4 linked regions of the Schizosaccharomyces pombe genome follow. The gene in region 3 interacts genetically with the main gene of each other region. Each region holds a gene or a part of one and is shown on either strand. Other genes may lie near its edges.

The links.
Region 1: mutations in SPOM_SPAC1B3.02C (region 3) and asl1 together harm fitness less than expected from each alone (positive genetic interaction), as found in Schizosaccharomyces pombe (one large-scale study listed by BioGRID).
Region 2: mutations in SPOM_SPAC1B3.02C (region 3) and cwf16 together harm fitness more than expected from each alone (negative genetic interaction), as found in Schizosaccharomyces pombe (one large-scale study listed by BioGRID).
Region 4: mutations in SPOM_SPAC1B3.02C (region 3) and pgm2 together harm fitness less than expected from each alone (positive genetic interaction), as found in Schizosaccharomyces pombe (one large-scale study listed by BioGRID).

What each region holds. Positions count from the first base shown.
Region 1 is NC_003424.3:190,450-196,772, reverse strand, and holds asl1 (O-glucosyl hydrolase Asl1), read left to right. Parts: upstream 1-2,722; 5' UTR 2,723-2,884; coding exon 2,885-4,477; 3' UTR 4,478-4,845; downstream 4,846-6,323. Other genes in the region: chs1 (chitin synthase I), read left to right, coding at 1-552, 599-683; mevalonate kinase Erg12, read left to right, coding at 1,191-1,265, 1,515-2,654; tsr402 (SSU-rRNA maturation Tsr4 family protein), read right to left, coding at 5,482-6,043, 6,189-6,323.
Region 2 is NC_003424.3:1,487,293-1,492,797, forward strand, and holds cwf16 (splicing factor), read right to left. Parts: upstream 2,464-5,505; 5' UTR 2,291-2,463; coding exon 1,478-2,290; 3' UTR 1,318-1,477; downstream 1-1,317. Other genes in the region: F1-ATPase chaperone Atp12, read right to left, coding at 1-763; gpp74 (golgi phosphoprotein 3), read right to left, coding at 3,449-4,462.
Region 3 is NC_003424.3:4,926,972-4,932,294, forward strand, and holds SPOM_SPAC1B3.02C (Elf1 family transcription elongation factor), read right to left. Parts: upstream 2,575-5,323; 5' UTR 2,546-2,574; coding exon 2,480-2,545; intron 2,439-2,479; coding exon 2,392-2,438; intron 2,349-2,391; coding exon 2,278-2,348; intron 2,130-2,277; coding exon 1,990-2,129; 3' UTR 1,201-1,989; downstream 1-1,200. Other genes in the region: SPOM_SPAC1B3.01C (uracil phosphoribosyltransferase), read right to left, coding at 1-32, 125-627, 849-947; cyclophilin family peptidyl-prolyl cis-trans isomerase Wis2, read right to left, coding at 2,974-4,044; GTPase GUF1, read right to left, coding at 4,342-4,380, 4,532-5,323.
Region 4 is NC_003421.2:2,263,742-2,270,437, reverse strand, and holds pgm2 (phosphoglucomutase), read left to right. Parts: upstream 1-2,497; 5' UTR 2,498-2,517; coding exon 2,518-2,568; exon of another isoform or gene 2,569-2,630; coding exon 2,631-2,730; exon of another isoform or gene 2,731-2,970; intron 2,971-3,132; exon of another isoform or gene 3,133-3,167; coding exon 3,168-4,780; 3' UTR 4,781-4,903; downstream 4,904-6,696. Other genes in the region: F0-ATPase delta subunit atp5, read left to right, coding at 717-837, 950-1,468, 1,544-1,554; metacaspase Pca1, read right to left, coding at 4,982-5,454, 5,494-5,662, 5,703-5,726, 5,773-5,870, 5,912-5,971, 6,018-6,471.

The sequences.
Region 1 (6,323 bases), 4.7 Mb from region 3:
CTCTTCATCTTATACTTCTGCATTGTTGAATAGTAATGTCTTTATAAATATTGTGATATCACTCTCTTCCACCTATGGAATGTATCTTGTGGTATCCATTATCTCTTTTGATCCATGGCATATGTTCACTTCGTTTGTGCAATACATTTTTCTTTCAATAATGTATACGAATGTATTAAATGTTTATGCGTTTTGCAACACACATGACGTTTCTTGGGGTACCAAAGGAGATCACTTTACCAACAATGATCTAGGTGTTGCAAGACTCCTTCAAAAAGGAGCTGATGTAGAAATAGCAATTCCTACAAATCAATCAGACATTGATGCAAAGTATGAGGATGCTGTTAAACTGCTGGCATCTCCTTCATTAGAATTCAACAGTCCCATCATTAATCACGGAGAGCAAGAGGATTTTTACAAAAATTTTCGAACGTATGTTGTGCTTACCTGGATTCTCTCAAACCTATTTTTGGTAGGAATTGTTCTAAGTATACCAAAAATTAACGGGATCTCTATTTCAAACAATGAAACAAGCGCTTATTTGTCGTTTCTGTACGTTGATTTCAAGACTGTTTTATCAGTTGACTAACTATAATAGACTTTGGAGCGTCGTTGCTTTCTCGGTTTTTCGGTTTATTGGTTGTATTTTTTATTTATTTATTAGACTTTGTACGGGAGAATAACTTGCATGGCTATTTTAAGATATTTTAATTTGTTAATGAGTAAACTTTTTAATGAATTCATCAGATTATGTACTTACTAAACAGCATTTTTTTATACCTGAACACTACTTCTCAATTTGCTTAGCTGTCTATTTAAATATTATGTTATCAATACTCATCATATATGTACTTGCTCTTGCTTTCTTGCTATAAGCTATAAATGTAGTATTTTATGGTTTTATGTAAATGTCTAACGAGTTTTGCGCTGTATACCTCGTTTAAAAAGTCATTTTCCTTAGCGCATATGAAAACTATAACATCGCGATTTTTATTACAAAAGAACTTTTAAAACAAAATCAAATAAAGTAACTTTTTAATTAAAATACCAATCTTTTGCTACAACTTCCAATACCATCATCACCTTGTCCTGTTTGCGTAGATATCTGTCGATAACCAACCTTCGTCGCCTATTTACCATCACCTTATTTTAACTGTGTTTTGAAGTTGAACGTAAAAAAAATTTCTGAAATGTCAAAATCGCTTATTGTTTCGTCGCCAGGAAAAACGATTTTGTTTGGGGAACATGCCGTTGTATATGGAGCTGTAAGTTTACCTAAGGTTTAAAGCAGATTACATTAGCGAGAGTTTTTAACAGGCTAGTACTGGATACAGCTCTGTTATGCATATATGATTTCTTTGTAACATAGTATTTGCAAAGCGAACACCACTTTTAACTTTGACAGTCGTCGCAAATGTCATTCTGCTATAGCCATGCTTATTTTTGATTCTAATCTTAAGCCATTTTAAAGCGAAAATATGGAGATCATTTAAATTTTTATGCTAACTTTCTAGACTGCGTTAGCTGCAGCTGTATCGTTACGGAGTTACTGTAAATTACAGACGACTAATAACAATGAAATAGTAATTGTGATGAGTGATATAGGGACCGAACGCCGATGGAATCTTCAATCGCTACCTTGGCAGCATGTAACAGTGGAAAACGTTCAGCACCCGGCATCATCTCCCAATCTGGACCTTTTACAAGGATTAGGAGAGCTATTAAAAAATGAAGAAAACGGACTTATTCACTCAGCAATGCTTTGTACCCTTTACTTGTTCACGTCTTTGTCTTCTCCTTCTCAGGGTTGTACTTTAACTATTAGCTCCCAAGTACCTTTGGGTGCTGGATTAGGTAGTAGTGCTACTATATCAGTTGTTGTCGCTACAAGTTTACTACTAGCTTTTGGTAATATTGAACCTCCTAGCTCAAATTCTCTTCAAAACAACAAAGCACTTGCGTTGATAGAGGCTTGGTCTTTTCTAGGTGAATGCTGTATTCATGGAACACCAAGTGGTATTGATAATGCAGTAGCAACAAATGGAGGACTTATCGCTTTTCGTAAAGCTACAGCTCATCAGAGTGCCATGAAAGAATTCTTAAAGCCTAAAGATACCTTATCTGTTATGATCACTGATACCAAACAACCAAAAAGTACTAAAAAACTTGTACAAGGAGTTTTTGAACTGAAGGAAAGACTACCAACTGTGATTGACTCAATAATAGATGCAATCGATGGCATATCAAAGTCTGCCGTCCTCGCATTGACTTCGGAGAGCGATAAAAACTCCTCCGCTAAAAAGTTAGGAGAGTTTATTGTTCTTAATCAAAAACTCTTAGAATGCTTGGGTGTATCCCATTATTCCATTGATCGCGTTTTACAAGCCACTAAGTCAATTGGATGGACGAAGCTTACAGGTGCCGGTGGTGGAGGTTGTACGATTACTTTATTAACACCTGAGTGCAAAGAAGAGGAATTTAAGTTATGTAAAGAATCACTATTAGCCCATAAAAATTCTATTTACGATGTTCAATTAGGTGGACCTGGTGTTTCAGTGGTAACCGACTCAGATTCATTTTTCCCTCAATATGAGTCTGACTTTGATTTTAAAAAATTGAATTTACTCAGCAAATTTAATAAATATTATATTTAAAGTTTTTATGTATAATCAAATTTTCATAACTGGTATATATATGAGTGGCTTGATAATGAACGCGGCTTGTCGTTCACCAACCACCACAGTAGAAGCTAGTCTATAAGAGTCGTTGTCCGTTCTTTAGCAACACTCCTTTCCACTCTTTTATATATCAACTATATACCAAATTTCATCTTTTCTTTCTTTTTTTAGTATTAGACGCGTTTTATCTAGTATTTTCTAAAAAAATGCGTACTACTTTCGCGACCGTCGCTTTAGCTTTTTTATCGACCGTTGGAGCTTTGCCCTATGCTCCTAACCATCGCCATCACCGTCGTGATGATGATGGCGTTTTAACCGTGTATGAGACTATCTTGGAGACTGTTTATGTTACCGCAGTTCCTGGTGCTAACTCATCTTCCTCATATACTTCTTACTCCACTGGTTTAGCTTCTGTTACCGAGTCGTCCGACGATGGTGCTTCAACGGCTTTACCTACTACCTCTACGGAATCTGTGGTTGTAACAACCAGTGCCCCTGCTGCTAGTTCCTCTGCCACTAGCTACCCTGCCACTTTTGTTAGTACTCCTCTATATACTATGGACAACGTTACTGCACCCGTATGGTCCAATACTTCTGTCCCTGTATCAACTCCCGAGACATCTGCCACTTCTAGTTCTGAATTTTTCACTTCGTATCCTGCTACCAGTTCCGAATCTAGCTCTTCTTATCCTGCTTCTAGTACTGAAGTTGCTAGCTCTTATTCTGCTTCTAGTACTGAAGTTACTAGTTCTTATCCTGCTAGCTCTGAAGTTGCTACGTCAACTTCATCCTATGTGGCTCCTGTCTCGTCTTCAGTTGCTTCTTCATCAGAGATATCAGCTGGCTCTGCTACATCTTACGTCCCCACTTCCTCATCATCTATTGCTCTTTCTTCTGTAGTTGCAAGTGCCAGTGTTTCTGCTGCTAACAAGGGAGTTAGTACTCCTGCTGTTTCTTCAGCTGCCGCCTCCTCTTCAGCTGTCGTTTCCTCTGTTGTCTCTAGTGCCACTTCTGTTGCTGCTTCTAGTACTATTTCCAGTGCTACCTCAAGCTCTGCATCAGCATCTCCTACTAGTTCTTCAGTTTCTGGCAAGCGCGGTTTGGCCTGGATTCCTGGAACTGACCTTGGTTACTCTGATAACTTTGTCAATAAGGGCATCAACTGGTATTACAACTGGGGTAGTTATTCATCTGGTCTGAGTTCCTCTTTTGAATATGTTCTCAACCAACATGATGCCAATAGCCTTTCTTCAGCTTCTTCTGTTTTCACTGGTGGTGCTACCGTCATTGGATTTAATGAGCCTGATTTGTCCGCTGCTGGAAATCCTATAGATGCAGCTACTGCAGCTAGTTATTATCTTCAATACTTAACACCTCTTCGTGAATCTGGTGCCATTGGTTATTTGGGATCACCTGCCATCAGTAACGTAGGTGAAGATTGGCTTTCTGAATTCATGAGCGCATGCTCTGATTGTAAGATCGATTTCATTGCTTGCCATTGGTATGGTATTGACTTTAGCAATTTGCAAGATTATATTAACTCTCTCGCCAATTACGGTCTCCCTATTTGGCTTACTGAATTTGCTTGCACCAACTGGGATGATAGCAATTTACCTTCATTGGATGAAGTTAAGACTTTGATGACCAGCGCTCTTGGCTTTTTAGATGGACATGGATCTGTTGAGCGTTACAGTTGGTTTGCTCCTGCTACCGAACTCGGAGCCGGTGTTGGTAATAACAATGCCCTTATCAGTTCCTCTGGTGGATTAAGTGAAGTCGGAGAGATTTATATTTCTTGAACTCCTTAAATTTACACAAAATGGGAAATTATCTTGTGAGATATAATGGTAATTCTTATGCTTTTTTTTCGTTCTTTAAACTGTCAAATACTCTTATTTCTTCTTGCTCTGAAACTCTTTTTTATGATATTTTGTTTCATGGTTTTTGTCGCTTTTTTTTGAATACTCTGCCATCTATCAGATTGTTTAAGCTTTCTGAACTATGCTTATAGGAGATGTGCTTCTTATTACATCGATCTTTCATTTATTCATTCGTTTATTTTACCAACCATGAAGTTCATTGTGTTTGATGTCACAATTTTTAAAGCGTGTATTCAATGAATATGCTGCGTGTTTTAATTTAATACAGTCGTTAAATGTCTTTTAAATTTTATTAGTAATCTTTTCTGTAAGCTTTGGAACTCTTGATAAAGTCGTTTAACTTTATTTGCTGACATTGTTGATGATCTGTAGTATAAAGGTAAATAATAAGCGAAAGTCTCGTCTATAAAATGAAAACAAATGCATAATTGACTGCTGTAATGATAAAACAACTATTTCTCCATTGCGCCATTGTGGGTGGTTTGATATCTGGGTGTTCTTTACATGCTTGTTTGCCTCTTTTCAAAAGGAGGTCTTAGCAACTTTGGACACACGAACAAGAAAAGGCTTATTGAACTATAGGATATTAGAAGCATGAGCAATTTAAGAGACATCACAAACTTAATTAGCAGATATTAAAAGAAAAAGTTATCTCGAATCTCTTGCGAAAAATTTATTAAAGTAACCTTTTTTTTGCATAGTTCTTTGCAGCAGATTTAACTTACGCCGAGTAATCTAGTACTAGATTCTTAACCTGCTCTACTCACTGTAATCATAAAAAGAAACTCTACTCATGCCCCTCTTACAAATGTTTTCAACCGGACGAAAGCAACCATCTCAAAAGTCAAGAATCCCGTAACTATTTGCACAATAAACACTAATTAAATTCCGTTTTCCATAAATATATGCCGCCGTATAGGAGATCATTCAGGTGCTATAATTCCTTGCTCTGAAAAAGTTTGAAGCCAACAAAGTTCTTCGGCCAGCCCGCAGTTGGCTAAATCACACGAAGCAGAGCAAACATAAATAGATAATATTCCCCAATCCAGAGCATTTTTCGCAGAATGATCAATATTCATACTTGATATCAAAGTAGGTAAAATTTGAAATTCAAGCTGCCTTTTAGCTCCGCAAGCGCAATTGGGTATAGATGAAGGTATACATTCATTATTGCACCATAAACCAGGAAATTCATTAGAAGTCGCATGGTAATAACGCATAATTTGGTCAGGCGCTCTTGAAAGCCGTTTTTGAAATTTCAGGAATGAGACATCACCTTTTGCTTTAGTATACGGTTCAGCGGAAGGATTCTCAGTATCTACTTTTACATTTTTTAGCTTCTCCGGTATTTCTTTTTTATTTTCCTCTTTTGGTTCGGCATCAACTTCAATTTCTGAAGAGTCAATTAATTTAGTTACTTTTGATGTAATTAATTGAAAGTCTATTTCATCTGTTTCACGAGCTTGTTCCCTAAAAACTTTAACACTAAGTAAATGTAAAGTTAGTACAATTAAGATAAATGCTGGTTTACAATGTGATTTCAAAAAACATATTAGGTCCGAAATCCAATAATTTTTTTGACATCAAGTCGTCTAATATAAAACGATTTACTAATAAATGTTTAACTTACCCTCTCGTCCAGCCTGCTGTTTGTGAGTCTCCGTCCCTGTTGATGAATATATACAATATTCTGTGGTACGAAATTTCAGAGTTTTTCGGTGCATATAATTGCATTAAAAACTCAAACGAGTTTTCTAAGGATTCA
Region 2 (5,505 bases), 3.4 Mb from region 3:
CCAAAGAGCCCCATCGATTTGTTTGGTACTGAAGTTCTAAGTTCGTCAAAGCGGCAGCTTTTTCAGAGTTCAAATATCCTTTTAAAATCATGAAAGAAACTATGAAGCTCTTGCAGCAACTAACAGATCTTTCAAAAGCTGCTAGTTGCCAAGAGTTCAGCGAGCTGAGCCAGTTTCTTATGCGTTCGTGTGTTTCCTGCGTTTGTTTATGGGCAATAATACCAGCATCACCATCCAAATAGCTTAATTGCACACCAAGTTTGTTTTCAAAGGTTTCTTTCAGTGGCCACCAATTTTCCTTTTGCTCCTCCAACAATTTCCCTTCATATTCTGTTTCGGGGGAGTAAATTAGAATTGTGTCGGTGTCAAGGAAACGAATTAATTGAGTAGAAAGTAGTTCCTTTTCTTCTTTTTTGAATTGTGATATGTCAATAGCTCTCGAAACTAGGGAAGTAATTGGGAGATTGTGTTGTCGAACAGAGGTTGATGGTAATCGATCCCATTCTAGGGCAATCAAGTGTGCTAGTAACTCCATTTCTTTAGGTACCTTAACAATCTTCCCAGAAGGTGATTTTAAATTTCGTCCATCTAATTGAATCAAGACTTCTCCATTTTGGATTTTGGTAGCTGTATTCTTCCAAAATCTCCTGAATGATGGTTGCGGCAAAGGAGAGGAAGCTTTTGTAGAGTAAAACGAATAGCACGTTTTAAATGACAGCAAGTTTTTGCTGGATAATCTGTAAAATTGTAAAGATCGAAGCATCTTACAAAAATAGAAAAAAAAGGGTATTCAAGGTGTCTATCTGAGACACTAAAAAATCTTTCGTACTTCAAACTGCCAAAATTTAATTTTTAATTATTGTTTAAGAGTTAATTATTATGATATACGTTTTTAGTTGGTGTTCTCCAAAATATTGGTTACTATGTAAGATGAGTCTAACAATATTTTGTCACAGGCATGATGAGAATAAGTTTTAATATTTTTTTCTAAAAGTAGTTTTTAATTAAGCAAGAAAAAACTCTTTTAAAATAAATTAATAGACGTTCCTATCATAGTTCCTAAACCGTTGTTTACGTTAGCCGCCTTGAATTTAGCTACGATTAAGACTACTTTTTGACAAACCGTAAATGTAAATTGATAAATTACAATTAGATACTCGGAAAATTAGAAGGAACCTTAAAAAAAATCAATTAACATGTGCTGTTAAAAACTTAAAGTTGAAGAATAGATACAAACAAAATAAAACCTTTCTATAAATGCTACGGTATTATTCTACATAACAAACTACATTTACTAATCGAATAATAAAAATTAGAACAGGATATTGACTATCAACTCGCGTTATGAAAATCCATCAAAAACTCATTAAATATTATTACAATAAAAACCTTGCGCTGGTACAAAAGAACATGTACATTTTTAATAGCTTAGCTATAAAAAATGCAAGTAATTAAAAAATTTAGCCATTTATAGACGTTATACCAAAACCTTTTTCTTCTCCATTTTCCTTTTTGCATATTTTGGAGGCTGAAAATTCGGTATATTGGAAGTGGCCAGCTTCTCAGAAACCAAATCTATAGGTTTGGGTAATTCTTTTTCAACCGTTGTTTCTGCATTCAATCTTCTTATAATTTCACCATCCTGAGACGAAAACAACGATTTAGCTTCACGATCAATTTCTTCTTCCTCAAATTTCCGCTTTTTGGACTCCTCTTCTTCAATTGATCCATATGCATCTTCCTTTAAGAGAGCGATTGCATCATCAATGTTAACTCGAGACCTTCGAGCGCTCTTTTCACGTAGTTCGTCGAGTGCATCACTAATTTGCATTTGTCGTTTAGTGTCTAATGTTTTTTGTTCTAATTTTTCCATTTCGTCCTCCTCAGGAATGTCATTGCGTTCAGCTAACTCATTTTCTTCATATTCTTGTAATCTTTTTTCATGCCACGGCTCATAATTCCTGGAAGCTCCACTCTCTGCTGCATAATCTGCATGTTTTGGATCGGTTATAAATGTTATTTCAGCAGCACACCTAGTGCAGCGAATATAAAACCTCAATATATCAATTGAAAAATATTTTTCGCCGGTTTTCTCCTTCCTAGCGTTAAACTTTTTTCCTTTATATATATACTCTCCACAAGTATGACAGCGCATTGAAAATGGAGTCATCAAACGAACAGTCAATTTCCCACCATTTGGTCCTTGAAACTTTTTCTTTTTCTTAGGAGGACGAATGGAAGGATCATAATCGGGCGGGATATACTTGTTAAGTACCTTTCGTTCAGACATTGTTGGAAACTATGAAAAAAAAATGAAATGAACGTACGAGAATTGCTTTACCAAATTCAAAAAAAAAGAATAAATTAAAGTAAGGAAAATTTAACCGTCCTTTTGGGTTGGAATTATTTGACTTTACAGATGAATTTGAAAATGCTAGTTTTATGTGGATATGCGCTTTTTGTAAGCGAATGGCAAAAGTACTAGTACTATCTGTAGTTCTTTGACACTCGATACGTCGCGGTAATAAATTGAATGCGCACATAGCACTACGTAAACATATTTAGTACCATCCTTATATTTCCTTATACAATACCTGAGCTGAGCTATCGAGACGTGAGCAAGCGTTGTTTGTCAATCTTACACCTTCCGGTGTTTTAAGAGTACTTTAGATTCCCTTATAAATTGTGTATTATTTAAATGCTTCTGATTAATTTTGACTGATCAGTCTCCATAGTACTTTACGCTTACAGCAATAGACAATTAATGGGGTTGTTGGCATTAATGGCAGGAATAGATGATTTATATGAACTTGGTTAAAAATCGCTGTATTTCAGCTTATGTTCGTCTTAGTAAAGTTGATAGCAATGATCATAAGAAAACACCTGCTATATTAATTTATCATATGTTCATTTAAGTAAAGCTTGTGGAAGAACCCAAGTTTAAAATGGTTTAAAAGATAACTGTATAGTAATTACACAATTGTCATTTTTCGTTAGTTTAATAACTAAAGCTTTGTGAAAAGAAAGACTGACTTATATGTACGTATGTAAATCATTAAAACGAGAAGAAAATAGCTAACGATGTCCGCAACTGAAAAGAATGAAAGCTGACCCGGGATATTCTGAACAAATCTTTTTTAGCAGACAATATCGAAATGGGATTGCCTCCATATCGAGATAAAGTGTTCAACTGGAGAGAGTATATGTGGAAATGGTACCACCAATTTAATGAAAATTCAACTAGATAATGAAGCACCGATTGTTCAAAGTACTATTCTTACAACAACGAACAATTTGATTGAATTGACTTCTTTTAAAATAATACTCCAATTAAAAACAAACAAATTAAGCCGACATTAGCGATATAGAAGTCGGTATACGTTTGTTCATTAGTCTGAGTTGGAAATAACATAACTCAAACAACACCAACGAGTGATATGCTTGGCTATCAAAGTAAAGAATCTAAATGAGTGAAAACTTGAAGAACAGCAGCGACTACCTCAATGAAAAGTAGTTGCTCTTCCTTCACAGAGGAAAGTTCTTCGGAAATTAGCTCAGGCAAGTTAGCGCCAACTGACGAAGAAGCATGAAGATCAAAAGGCCATTGCGAAAAGTCACAGAGAAGCTCGTCTACGCGAGAAAATGCTTTTTCACGATCTTCATAGTTTAAATTGTCAAGAGCGTTTTCAAGAACATTAGCAGCGTATGAGGAACAAGCAAGGGCAACAGTGCGAAGGCAACGAAAAGACAAATATTCTGGGAAAGAAGGTGAATTATCAATTTCAATTACTCGTGAAGTAAGAACAGAGACCACTCTTTTTTTAATGGAATCTTTAATGGAGGTATCGGCAATGGGATGAGTTGGCATGTCGAAAAGTAAGAAATTCTTCTTCTCATTTCTTAAAATCCCTTTGTCAACAAGGCCCTTTGCCAACCGTTCGCGTACTTGTCTTAATTGATATCCAATCTTCATCACATTCCACGTTTCACCACTCATCAAATCAATCCAAGAGGTTACAGACATGAGTTCGCTAGTATGTATCATTTTAATAGCTTCGTCTAAAAGAACCTCACCTGTAAGTTTTTCATCAACCAACTCCACTACACGATCCGCTAACGGAAAGCGTTTACGATTAACGTCTTTTTGCATACGCAACTTTCCACGAAATGCGAGCTCCATTAGAATACATCCCCGAAGAGAATAAGAAATGCTGTCATTCCAAAAAGAAAGATAACCTTGCTTGTCTTTTAGACCCAATAACAATACCTCCTCCATCAGTGTAAGCCTGGGTTGCTTTTCCCTTTCCGCGCCTTGTTCCAAATCCTTTGGATCAAAAGCGATTTTATGATCATCATCGTATCCCTCAAGATGACTTTTGGAATGAGAGACGCTCCTCATCTCTGGACGTTCTTCGTCCGAACTTGCGGCAGCAACCCTCCTTCGGGAAAGTCCACCTGACATTTCTTTGAATTTTATGCCTAAATACAAGAAATTTCTTGTTGTCTATATCAAATAATCAAGAAGATGAGAGAGATATGCAAAACGTTGAAAGCAAAAGTATGCAATACAGGAGTTTCGCTAAAGAAAGAAACGTTCAAACAAATGGGAAAACTTTTGATTAAAAATACCTTTTGCTTTTGTTTCCTCAGAACCTTGACGGCCAATTAATCCAACTTTTCGTTGGGATGCAAATTATTATAAATTGGTAGGTTGAACCAGAAGTACCCAACTAAATACCGAATTTTTTGAAGATACTGGGAATATTTCCACCAAAGAACTTTGGAAGACAACAAAGAATTAATAAATACTTGATATTTGAGGATTGTATGTTCGCGCAGTTCTGCCCGTAAGTGGTAGCAGAATTACGGTGGCTTAACAGATGCTCCCGTAACCTACAGCTTATAAATTGATCCTTAGCATACGGCAACCCAAAAATCGAGAATTTTGGACTTTACTTAAAAAATAAAAAGATACGAGAAGAATTCTTATTGTAAAAAAAATAAAAATATAAATTGAAACCCTCATTTTACTACAAGAAAAGAGACGGATACCTTTTTAAGAAAAGCTTGGACTCCCCGATAACCTAAACAGGATATTTATGAGCTTGGTGTAAATACTGAATGGATTACACTTTAAAAGTTCTAAGCTTTTCATGTTCCCTAATGAAATGAAACGTATACTGAATGCGGGAGCACCTTTGTATAGAAATGTTCTTTCATTAACGATTGCATGCTTTTTAAGTCGTAAATTAGTAATTAAAGTATGAATATGCCGATAGTGATGTTAAATGATATAAACTTTCAACCATTGGTGCGAATTATTAAGAGATAGAGAACATCGAGAAATTCAGTTTTATTTTTATCGTTTACGCGACGATATATGAACTGTATCACCAAAAAATTTTTACGTTTTGGAGTAAAAAATAAATTCAGAGTTTGTAAAGAAGATGAAATGTAAAAACACAATGTCACAGGCCTTCATAAGCGTAACTCTGCCATTAATTA
Region 3 (5,323 bases):
CTCCAAAATCGCCAAGACCTGGAACAATGTATCTAAATCATATGTGTTAAAGATTATTCATGAATGAAATAGCGATCAACTTTGTATTGACCTCATGAACACTTGTAGTGTATCGTGCACATACCCATTGTTGTCGAGTCCCTCATCAATTACGGCGGTAACTATACGTATATTGGGGAAACGATCGTGAACATTTTTCAACCCTTCAGGCGAGGCAATTACATTGAGGAAAATGATTTGTTCTTGTTTGCAACCCATGTTGATAAGAATTTCCATAGCACAAATAGCAGAGCCACCAGTGGCTAGCATGGGGTCCAAAAGTAAGACATAGCGTTTAGAAATATCTTCGGGAAGCTTGATGTAGTGTAACACAGGTTTATGAGTTTCCTCATCACGCTGTATCAAAATTTTTCCAATACGAACAGAACGACAGCATTCACGCAATCCTTGTTCCATACTTTCGCCAGCTCTCATAATGCTAACGCCGCAAATACGACCATCAAACATTACACCCTCGTATTCAGCATTTTGAGCAGTCGTTACCTTAGCTGAAGACACTGGCAAGTGGTTGAGGCCCTCTTCAACAATTAAACGAATGATTCTATTGGCATAAAAAATAAATTCAGACTAAATATCATGTTAGCAGGGATAACAGATTCAACAAAGAATACACGAGAAGTTGTCGAATGTACTAACTGATAATGAATGCTTCCTATCATCCACTGATAAACATTTATCTCCCCATTAATAGAGGAAAAAGCTAAAATTTCTTGGACATATTAACACATTCATTTCAATTAGTTCTTAGACCTTGACTCAGTAATCTGTTGTAAACTGAACGCGCATACACGAGGTTTCGTTTTATCACGAATGATGGTAAACAACCCTTTTAATTGATTTGTCTGATTTAGTACGTACACATTTCCATGCTCAGGTACCAGCGACATCTTTTTGACGATGTATGCTTAAATATCTACCTATCAAGTTGTTTACCAAGTAAATGGTAAAAAGTAAAAGCACAATAACACATTTGCTTTTAAGCTATCAATAGCAAAATGAGTTTTATCAACCTTAGTATATTTCGTTAAACATAAATAAAGATTTACAACATCATTTCATAATAACATAATTATGATTAATGCGTTACTTAGCGCAGTAAAAGATTTCTACTCTAGCAGGCTTGGCAAAATTAAATAAGAATATCAATTAACTATTGAACATATTTTAGGGCAAGTTGATGTTTTTAAATGAATTACTGCTTATATTTAAGAATGAGAAAGACAGTACAAATTTTTGAAGCACACATTCATACAATTGGACTCCATGCAGCTTACAATCTTAATTGGATTTCAATGTTTTTTACTTGTAATTCTCAATTCATCCAACTGTATTCACAAGAAACCAAGAAATGAGTTGTATTGTAAGGATTTTTAAATCAAATGCAGTAAGAACACATGAACATATTTTCATATCTCTTTCATTCTAGACATTTTTTGTACATGGAGAATACAATAAGTACAAGGTCGAAGTCAACCACACTCTAGGCACTCGTAATTCTTAGCCTGTCATAGTGAACAGCGATTCTACCAAACCAAAAACAAAGCAATGAAATGGCTATCTTGCCAATGAGCAAGATATCACACCCATATTGATGGTACATCCGAATACCAACAAATAAGCTTAACACTATCGTCCAATTGTCGGTTCATCAGATGGAATCTCGAAATTCGTATGTTCGACGTCTTTAAAAAGGACAAATATATACAAGAGCATGCCTAGATTTGTATACACTAAGCTCGTCCGGTTTTGCCAAATACAGCGTCTTGTTCATTGCAATGTAGTTAATACCTTCTTATCGCTTCAGAGAAATCTCTTAATTGAAACGACTGAGCATCAACGAAAATAAGATCACCATAAATGAACGGAAACTTTCAACATTTAAGCTCTGAAAAGAATCTTCCTTTTGCAAGTTAGGCCAATAGCAAAAAATCATTCCTTTTCTTCCTCATAAGCTGCTTCAGGGGAATAGGCTTCTTGATCATTTATATTATCAACCTCTTTAGCTTGATTTGCAACAGCATCACAAGCATCAATCCAGTCGCTGTATACGTCGATGGGTGCCGAAAGAGCTTGATAATGTTAGTAAATAAGTGTACAAGAAAATTTCATAAAAGAACAAGAAATAAGAAGATAAAGAGACGATATAAAAGAAATTAACCGCAATATTAATCGTAATAATTTACGTGCCGCTATTGAAATAAAACACCTCTTTCATACCTGTAATTAGACATTGATGACTCTGACCACAAATTTTGCAGTGTAGATTTCCAACTCCTGATTGTTTATCACTATCAAAGTGTTAAAAAAAATGAAAGTAGTTAATAAGCATACAGACTACAGCTCACACTTTTTTCGTGGTTGCAAAATAGGCACGTAAACTAGTAAAGTTAGTAAATTTCGTAATTAAACTATAACTCACAGTCGTATCTAATGGGGGTGCCCTTCTTTTGGGTTTCACTTTTGCTTTTGCTTTTCTTTTACCCATTTGCAGAATCTGTTTACGTTTTGCAAACTGCAGATTCGTATTAGCGGGTTCACATTAGCACTCTCATCCTTAGGAAGGGTAATGCGGAAACTCATGTAATTTCGACACTTGGTAAGAGACGGTCTTATTTAATTTTAATGAATTAAATGTTTAAATATGATATTCTTATTGAGTTTACTGATGCACATTTGTTTCTAGAGTTCTTTCTATTCATGATGATACTTTGCTGTATGAAACGCAAACGTAGGCATACCAGTCTTACAAACGAAGCCAGATCCTCCATAAGTAAATCTTGCACTCTTTCTCGCAACGTAGTTGACCTTCTATGGTTATTTTGTAAATGCGATAAAACTCTCATTGACTAACTAGAAATTAACGTAAAACATAATTGACTTCTCAGCATTCACGTGACGCCGATTAATTTGGAATTACTGAAACATCTTAGCATAGGCCTTTTGTTGGCGCTTCTTATAATCTTTTTTCTTTTGACGAATTTCTGCAAGCTTCTTTGAAATTGCAGGATCGTTACCAGCCTTAGCAAGTGCTTTCTCTGATTCTTCAAAATTCTTCAAGAGACCTTGAGCACAACCCAAACGATAGTATGCTTTCTGTTTCTCTAACTCAGTAGAGTTACTGGCCTCAATTACAATGTTGGCGTTTCGAATAGCTTCCTGAGGTTTGTTCTGCTTCAAAGCTACAAGGGCAAGGTTTGCGTATATGCTGTATCGTAAAGCATTATACTCTTTCCAGAAATCAGGGGATTCCTTAGAGTCATCGTTGGGAACAGGGTATTCCATTAGGTAGCGCAAAGCTTTTTGCCATTTGGCAACGGCTGTATCCAAATTTTGCTGAGCAAATTGCTTGTTAGCAATTCCCTTTAAGTCGCTAGCAATTTTGAAAATGGCAGTCTCGGACTTATCACCCTCGTAATCATCAGGAAATTCTTCCAGAGAATCACCAGTAACGTCTGGCTTTGGTGCCTCAATCTGATCCTTTGTGCAAGTTCCACATTCTTCAATAACAACAGGTACAACCGGATCGTCATTTTTGGTCTCCAAATTTTCAATGGTACGAACAGTAGATTTTCCTTGAATTACCTTGCCAAAAACAACATGCTTTCCATCCAAATGAGGGGTGGGAACAGTAGTAATGAAGAACTGAGATCCATTGGTATTAGGGCCGGCATTGGCCATGGAAAGCAAGAAAGGCTTATCATGCTTGAGCTCAAAGTTCTCGTCCTCAAACTTCTCGCCGTAGATGCTTTCTCCACCCGTTCCATTACCACGAGTAAAGTCACCACCTTGAAGCATAAAGTTCTTAATTACTCGATGGAACCTTGAACCTTTGTAGGTTAAACAACGGCCATCCTTCTCAAACCCATTACACAACGAAGCAAAGTTTTTGACAGTTTTGGGAACTACGTTGTCGAAAAGTTCAAAGTAGATTGTTGGTTGAATTTTACCATCAATGCTAATTTTAAAATAGGCGTAAGTACTCATTTCGTGCAAAAAAAAACAATGATCGTTTTTAAGTAATGATATTTCACTGCCAGTCTCCTCAGTGTATTCACACCACAAAGTTGCTTTAAGAAGAAGAATGAATAGCGATTTTACGCAGACGAAATATACAGATCTGTGCAAACTATTTAGTTTTAGTTATTAAAAAGGTGGTGATTTATATTTGCAACCTACTGCGAAGAGATTTTCTACGAAACTTCTAGAAACATACTGTATTAAAAAAATGCTAGCAGAAGAAAATTTGACTTTTTATTAGACCAAAAAATATTTATACTTTTTTCAATTAGATTGCTTCTTCGTTAAAAATTCATAAAATACCTGATTTAAGTTAGCACACACGGACTATAAAGAAATATAAGTGCTGTTGAGTGAAGTCAACAATGTATTTAAATTTTAAAACACAAAATTGTGTTTCCTAATAGTTTTAAAACATATTTCGATGAAGTCTTCAGGCAATGTAATTACTTACCGATTTGTCAATTGAAACATTTCCAACTGACTTCAATCTCTTTTTCCCTTCCTTTTGCTTATTAAGTAGCTTTTGCTTCCTTGTTACATCTCCCCCGTAGCATTTTGCTGTGACATTTTTTCGAAGAGCCGAGATAGACTCCCTGGCGACTACTCGGTTGTCGATGACAGCTTGAAGTATTACTTCATATAGTTGTTTAGGAACTAACGGCTTCAACCGTTGAATCCATTCACGGCCTCGCTGAAGTGCAAGCGAGCGATGCACTATAGAACAAAGAGCATCTACAGATTTTCCACTCATAAAAATTGATAGTCGCACCAAATCAGCAGGAACGTAATCCGATTCTTCATAATCTAAGGTAGCGAAACCACTTGTTGTCCCTTTTAATCGACCAAAGAAATCTTCAACCAGGTGAGCAAGAGGTAATTGATATTTTATCATGCATCGCGATTCGGACATATAAGTGCAGTCCTTTTGGAGTCCTCGACAAGATTCACACAACTTGATAACATCTCCTAGGTACTCGCTCGGTGTTATAATTGTTGCATCGACGGTGGGCTCTAAAAGCTCAGATATACCTTGATGATTTGTTGGAAATAGATTAGGATTCGATATTACTTCTTCCCTTCCATTTTTATATTTTATGCGATACGGTACTGTGGGAGAAGTGATTAATAATTCCTTTCCATATTCATCCTTTAATCTGTCAATAAAGACAGAAAGATGCAACGTTCCAAGAAAACCTAAACGCCATCCCATCCCAAGAGCAGACGAGTTTTCTTTTTGTACATT
Region 4 (6,696 bases), on a different chromosome or scaffold from region 3:
ATATTTATATGTCTTTTCACTTGCTGGCTCTCGGCTTCTGAAGAAATAAGGCTTTCTCTATCTCAAGGTTTTTTAAACATTTTATCTCTTCTTTTTGAATTCCAGCATTTCCTAAGGGAAATCGTTACTAATCTTTGCACAATCTTGCCTACGGCTACCTTCTTTTTAATTACTATATGAAATCTTTTCAGTTGCTCTTAGATTTACTACTTTATGTATTAATTTAATCAATCTTAAGAAGCAGCTTTGCTAAGAACAATATCACATGAAAACCCTTAATTGAATCATTTGCCATCGTAGGTTTTGCACACACAACAATTCCTCTCATCTCCAGAAACATAGGTGATATACATTAGAATAGTAAGAATATGTAAGTCTTTAATAGGCAACTAGGCAACCTACCACATAGGCTTTTAGTGTATATTGTTTGGCAATACTGCTAATGATCAATTGCGTGTATTTCTAAAATTTGGCATTTGATTCTTATCTAATGAAAAAAAAAGAAAAACCACTTATACAACATTTCAAATTAATCTCATTTTAATAATCAACCTGTATTCAATTTAACAAATAGGCAACTTGTAGGTAACAACCTGAATAAGAAAGTATTGCAAGGAAGCACGTTGTAGCTTGTTCTTAAAGGATGACACCAAAACGGAGGTATGATCGGAGCCATTAACCAACTTCCTTAAACGTTGAGAGTGTGAAACATTACAATGAATCATATTTTTCGTCGCTCCATTCCCATCACTGCTCGATTACCTTCCTTAGGAATTCGCTCTTTAGCAACTGCAACTGCTTCTGCTCATCCCCCTGTCCAGTTGTATGGTTTAGATGGTATGTACTGTAAAAGGTGATTTTTAATTGCTACCATTTTGACTGATATCTTCATTGTCATCCAAAAGTCTGAATTTTTTGTCTTGGTAATTAACTCTTTTCTCTTATTTAGGTTCTTATGCTTCTTCTCTGTATACCGCTGCAGTAAAAGAATCCAAGTTGGACAATGTTGAGAAGGCCTTAAATAAACTGTCTGGTGTTCTTCAACAGAGACCGGAATTTGAACAATACATTTCTAGTCCTTGGTTGACTCGTGAGGATAAGAAAATATTGGTTAGTTCTTTGACGCAGATGACTGGAAATGAACCCCTTTTGAAGAATTTCTACAATGTTTTGTTAGACAATCATCGTCTTTATCTCTTAACTCGTATTCAGAAACAATTCTCTACTTTGATGCGCGCTAAAAGAGGAGAAATTGAAGTTAAAATTACTTCAGCTACTCCTCTAGATTCGAAGATCCTTTCTCGTCTCGAATCTCGGATAGCTAAATCGAAATATGGCAAGGGTAAATTACTGGTTAGCAATAAAGTTACTCCTTCTATCATCGGTGGACTAATTGTTGAAATTGGTGATAATATTCTTGATGTCAGTGTTGGTTCTCGTCTCAACAATTTGAACAAGCTCTTAAGTGGTAGGTTTTTTTATTATTTTTTAATATTTTTTCATGATTCAATTTTAATTTTTTTTACATGCTAACCATTTATAGAACCTATTTAAGGCTGTTTTAATGCAACAGCGTATCCTTCGCCAAAACCCAATCTTTATTCTCTTCTCATTCTAAACAGGCTTGAATTTCCTCTTATTCGTATTTCTCTTTCTTTGATAGGTTTTAATGAGCCATAGTACGTATTACATAGTCAATTGAAACTATGGTCATCATGTTTGCCTTACCTCCTCAATATTTCAGTTTCATTTATGTATGCTGTTATCAACTTTATGAATGCTATTTTTTCATCATCGAATAGTAGATCTTTGAAAACTTAGTTCCTGGTTATGGAAAAGGTGTGATTAAAGCCACAAATGTACTAACACTAATTTTCTTATCGTATCTCAAAGCTTGGAGTGATCCAGTACTTAAAACTTTAAACCATTCCATACTTAACCCGTTCAGTTTAGAGAAGTTGTACTTGATGGTATTGATTTTCAATCTCATCTGCATAACATAGATTGAGATTTATGAATAAACGTGTTGAATTGAAACCTGGGATATTCTATAAAAAGTTAACATCAGTTACTGTTGTTTATTAGTCAAGAGCTTCAAACCTTTTCGGTTCAATGACACATTCCGACAAGCAATTTTTAGACAAGAACGTCGCCAAGCCTAAGTGAATCCCATTGTCCGACGCCTATTAATTAAAACGATTCAGCTTGCGAATTGACGTCAGGTCTTGAATTCTTCCAATTTCTCCTTTTTGTAAGCGGTATATATCGTAATTAACTGCTGCTTTCAAATTACTAGGCTTCTTTTTGCAGCTAATGTTTTAAGAAATTCTCTAGAATAATTGGAGGTCATGAGTATAATATTATTACTACTTTTTGTTTTTGAGTCTATTTTATTAAAATCATTTTTGTAAGAAAACGGATACGAAATACCACGGCGTAAGGACGCGTTAAACGAGGTGATGAGATACGTGTATTGTGTGTGTAGCAAACAAATGGTAACAATTCCCATTTGGCAAGATGGATCCGATTTTGCAAGAATTAGTAGATGAGTGGTTCAAATTAGATCAAGTAAGTATTAGGACTATATTTACTATGGAAGTACTGTGGAACTAACAGATTGAACGCATTAGGATGAAACTACGAGGAATGAAGTTTCACAATTGATTAAGGCTGAAGATTATGCCACCCTCAAGCAAATTATGCATCCAAGGATTGGATTTGGTACATCTGGTATGTTTTTATTACAAAAGAAGAAAAAATTGAGATTGTTAAGAGATATTTCGCAAGTTGAAGTGGATTGAAAGAGAACGCTAAATAATGCCTCTTTCTTAATAAAGAATTCTCAGTGCTACAGCCGGTAGCTTAAACTACTTTATTGTGTTTTCCTTGATTAGAGTCGAAGTGATATACTTGATCATCGGTCACTTTCCTTACTGCGTATACTAATTTATTGTGATGATCATATTGGTCATATTTCAGAAAGAGTTTTTCGTTCTTCTTCTTCTTTTCTATCTGTTTTGGTCTTTTTTGCTTGGAATGTTATATAACGTGCTTGTACGAAATTGGTTTAAGTGTAATTAGATTTTCAGCTTGCGATTGTTCTCTCTATACATCTTAATGTTTTAACATTATCAAGTTCGTTTATTCATTTACTAATGTTTACAAAGGTTTGAGAGCTGAAATTGGTGCTGGCTTCGCTCGCATGAACTGTTTGACCGTGATTCAAGCCTCACAAGGCTTCGCTGAGTATTTGCTTCAAACCGTACCATCAGCTGCAAAGCTGGGTGTGGTAATTGGACACGATCATAGGCATAAGTCTAATACTTTTGCTCGACTTACTGCTGCAGTGTTCTTGCAAAAAGGATTCAAAACGTATTTCTTCGATCATCTTGTCCATACCCCTTTAGTCCCTTTTGCCGTTAAAACCCTAGGGACTGCAGCTGGTGTTATGATTACTGCTTCCCATAATCCCGCAGCTTATAACGGATACAAGGTCTATTGGGGAAACGGTTGTGCTATCATTCCTCCCCATGACAAGGGAATTGCTGCATGTATAGAAAAAAACTTAACGCCCATTACTTGGGACAAAAATTTGGTTGAAAATCATAAACTAGCAGATCGGGATTTTGCAGTTGGTCTTTTAAAAAACTATTGGTCTCAGCTCCACGAATTCCATTCCGAAAACAACTTTTCCTTGGAAATGAAATCTTTGAAATTTGTTTACACTCCTATTCATGGCGTTGGATTACCATTTGTTACTTCAGCATTACACTTATTTGGCGAACAAGGCGATATGATTTCTGTACCTCTTCAAGATTCTCCAAACCCTGACTTTCCGACTGTGAAATTTCCAAATCCAGAAGAGGAGGGGGCATTGGATTTGGCTTACGAGCAAGCTGATGCTAATGGTATTTCGTATGTCCTTGCAACTGATCCTGACGCAGATCGTTTCGCCTTTGCAGAAAAAATTAATGGTGCTTGGAGAAGATTTACCGGAGATGAAGTTGGTTGTATCCTTGCCTATTTTATATTTCAAGAATACAAAAACGTTGGAAAGCCAATTGATGATTTTTACGTTTTGTCAACTACTGTCTCTAGTGCTATGGTAAAGTCCATGGCCAAAGTAGAAGGATTCCATCATGTTGAAACACTTACTGGATTTAAGTGGTTAGGCAATAAAGCATTAGAATTGGAAAAACAAGGGAAATTTATTGGATTGGCATATGAAGAAGCTCTTGGTTATATGGTAGGTAGTATAGTTAGAGACAAAGACGGGGTTAATGCTTTGATTACGTTCCTTCATCTTTTGAAACGCCTTCAACTTCAGAATCTTTCAATTACCGAGGTTTTTGAGCAAATGTCTAAAAAATATGGTTATTACACTACGCAAAACTCATATTTCCTTTCACGCGACACTCCCAAGCTTCGTGCTTTGGTTGATGCCTTGAGACATTATGACACAAAATCGGGTTATCCGGCAACCCTTGGTAGTAAGAAAATTACAAATGTTCGCGACCTTACTACAGGTTACGACTCAAGCTCCACGGATGGTAAAGCTACTTTACCAGTTTCAAAAAGTTCAGATAACGTAACGTTTGAGCTTGAAAATGGAGAGGTAATTATGACTATTCGCACAAGTGGTACAGAGCCGAAACTTAAGTTTTATATCTGTGCTCGCGGACATTCGCTTGAAGATTCCATAAAGAATGCTACAGAAGTTAAACAGGCTATCAAATCTGAATGGTTTCATCCCCAACAGAACGGACTGGAAGAGCCATGAGTTTTCTCGCGTGTATAATTTTAATTTGAGCTCGTTTTTTAAGCAAAATTATAAATTGCAAACAAAAATATTTCAATAAAGTATTAGATATGATTTCCTGAGTTGTTGTGATTTAAATTTTATCCTTAATTGAAAATTCCTTAAATATCTGATGGAACTACAAAAATATAGAACTTCAATGATCAAGTAATGTTTAGTGTACTATAAAACCATGGCAAGATTCATGTCTAAAGGATGACTACAACTTAATTGGGGCAGTTGTGAGTATTTGTTGGAAAGTACTTGTCGAATACCTCTCAGCAACTGCAAGTAGCTAAGTTGGGGATTTTGAGTGACGACTTCACGGAAGGCGTATGATAAAGCACCAGTAGCGAATCCATTAACACTTGTATCTGCGCTTGTTTGATTATCTTTGCATCCGGATAAAGAAATAACATCAGCAGGAGAAAACTTAACTTGTCTAGAGTACTGTAGAGCGTTGTTATTAAATCCATTGGTAGCACTGGTAAATATATTTTTCACGTTGTTGATAGCTCCCATAATGTCGCCAGAGGCATAAGAAAGGCCAGCATGAAGTACATCCATACCAGATTCTTTTAACATATTTGGCTCCTTTAGAACGCCCTTGGTAGAGTACGTGAAAGGAAGATCGAGAGCTCCACCTGAATGACAAGCTATATTTTGTTAAAAATAGATTAAAATCACTGACTTACAGTCAAAGAGAGCTGTTAAACGACATCCTGCTGGTAAAGGCTTAACCATTATTTCGTGCATTTCATCATCTATAATTTGCCCGGCATATTGATGGTCCAGTGGATATATCGTTTCATCATAACCATCAACTTCGTCTCCATCAAGGTCTTTTGTTTGCCCTCCGTGGCCCTATGCATGTGAGTATGAGATGTAAAGTGATGATTCTTACACTATAGTGAAAAAATAATGCATCCTAAATAGTTAGCATTAGGAAGTAAATCCCATGACATATAACTTACATTAGGTTGGGCATCACTTACTAACCATCTCATCGCATCTAACATATTTTGACGAGTGGGAATTGCCCTTTGGTTGCTTGCCGTGTCTGTCATAATAACTAAAAAAGTTTTAGCAAGATGTTCTCGTAATCAACCATACCCATATCTTCTTGCTTGTAACCGTAGCGCTGTATCAGCAGTTGGGACATAGACATGACATCTTAAACAAGTTAATATATGTTTACTTGACCTTTCGCATTCCGTACCATTAATGCAACCTTGCAACTCATTTTGGGTATTGAGATAGTTAATTCCGATCAGCAAAGCCTTTCGCTTCCCTTGGCAAGTTGAATACTGATACTGAAAGTTTCCTCCTCCTGCTAAGTTATAAGATTGAGTCTGAGTGTTTGGCAGCTGAGGCCCACTATAATTTGGGTTGCCATAAGAATTAGCACCAGTATTCGGAGGCGGACCTGAGGGTGGGGCATAAGCATGGGAGTTTGCAGAGCTCAAACTTATATGACCAACATTCTCCATAGGGATTTGATTAGAATTGCCGTCTGTCTGAGGCCTTGTGGAAGGGGGTGGCATACGTGGAGGCTGATATTGATGTACAGTGTTATTACTTTGAGAACCATTATTTGGTGAATAATTAGGTCTAGTATATGTATTATATGGTGGATATTGCCCACCGTTATAAGGATTGGAGTTGTAGCTCATGTTGATGGGAAGTTGGATAGTGCTTAACTATGCTACTTTCAATAAAATACCAGATCTCACAGGTTATAACTAAAGCAAAATCAATTTGACTACAGTATATACATTTAAAAAAAAAATTAATTGCAAAAGATGCGAGCAATATATTATAATCATACCACACATCAAAACGTATTATACACGAAAGAGCTGCTACACGAAGAAATAATTTAATACGATGAAAAATCA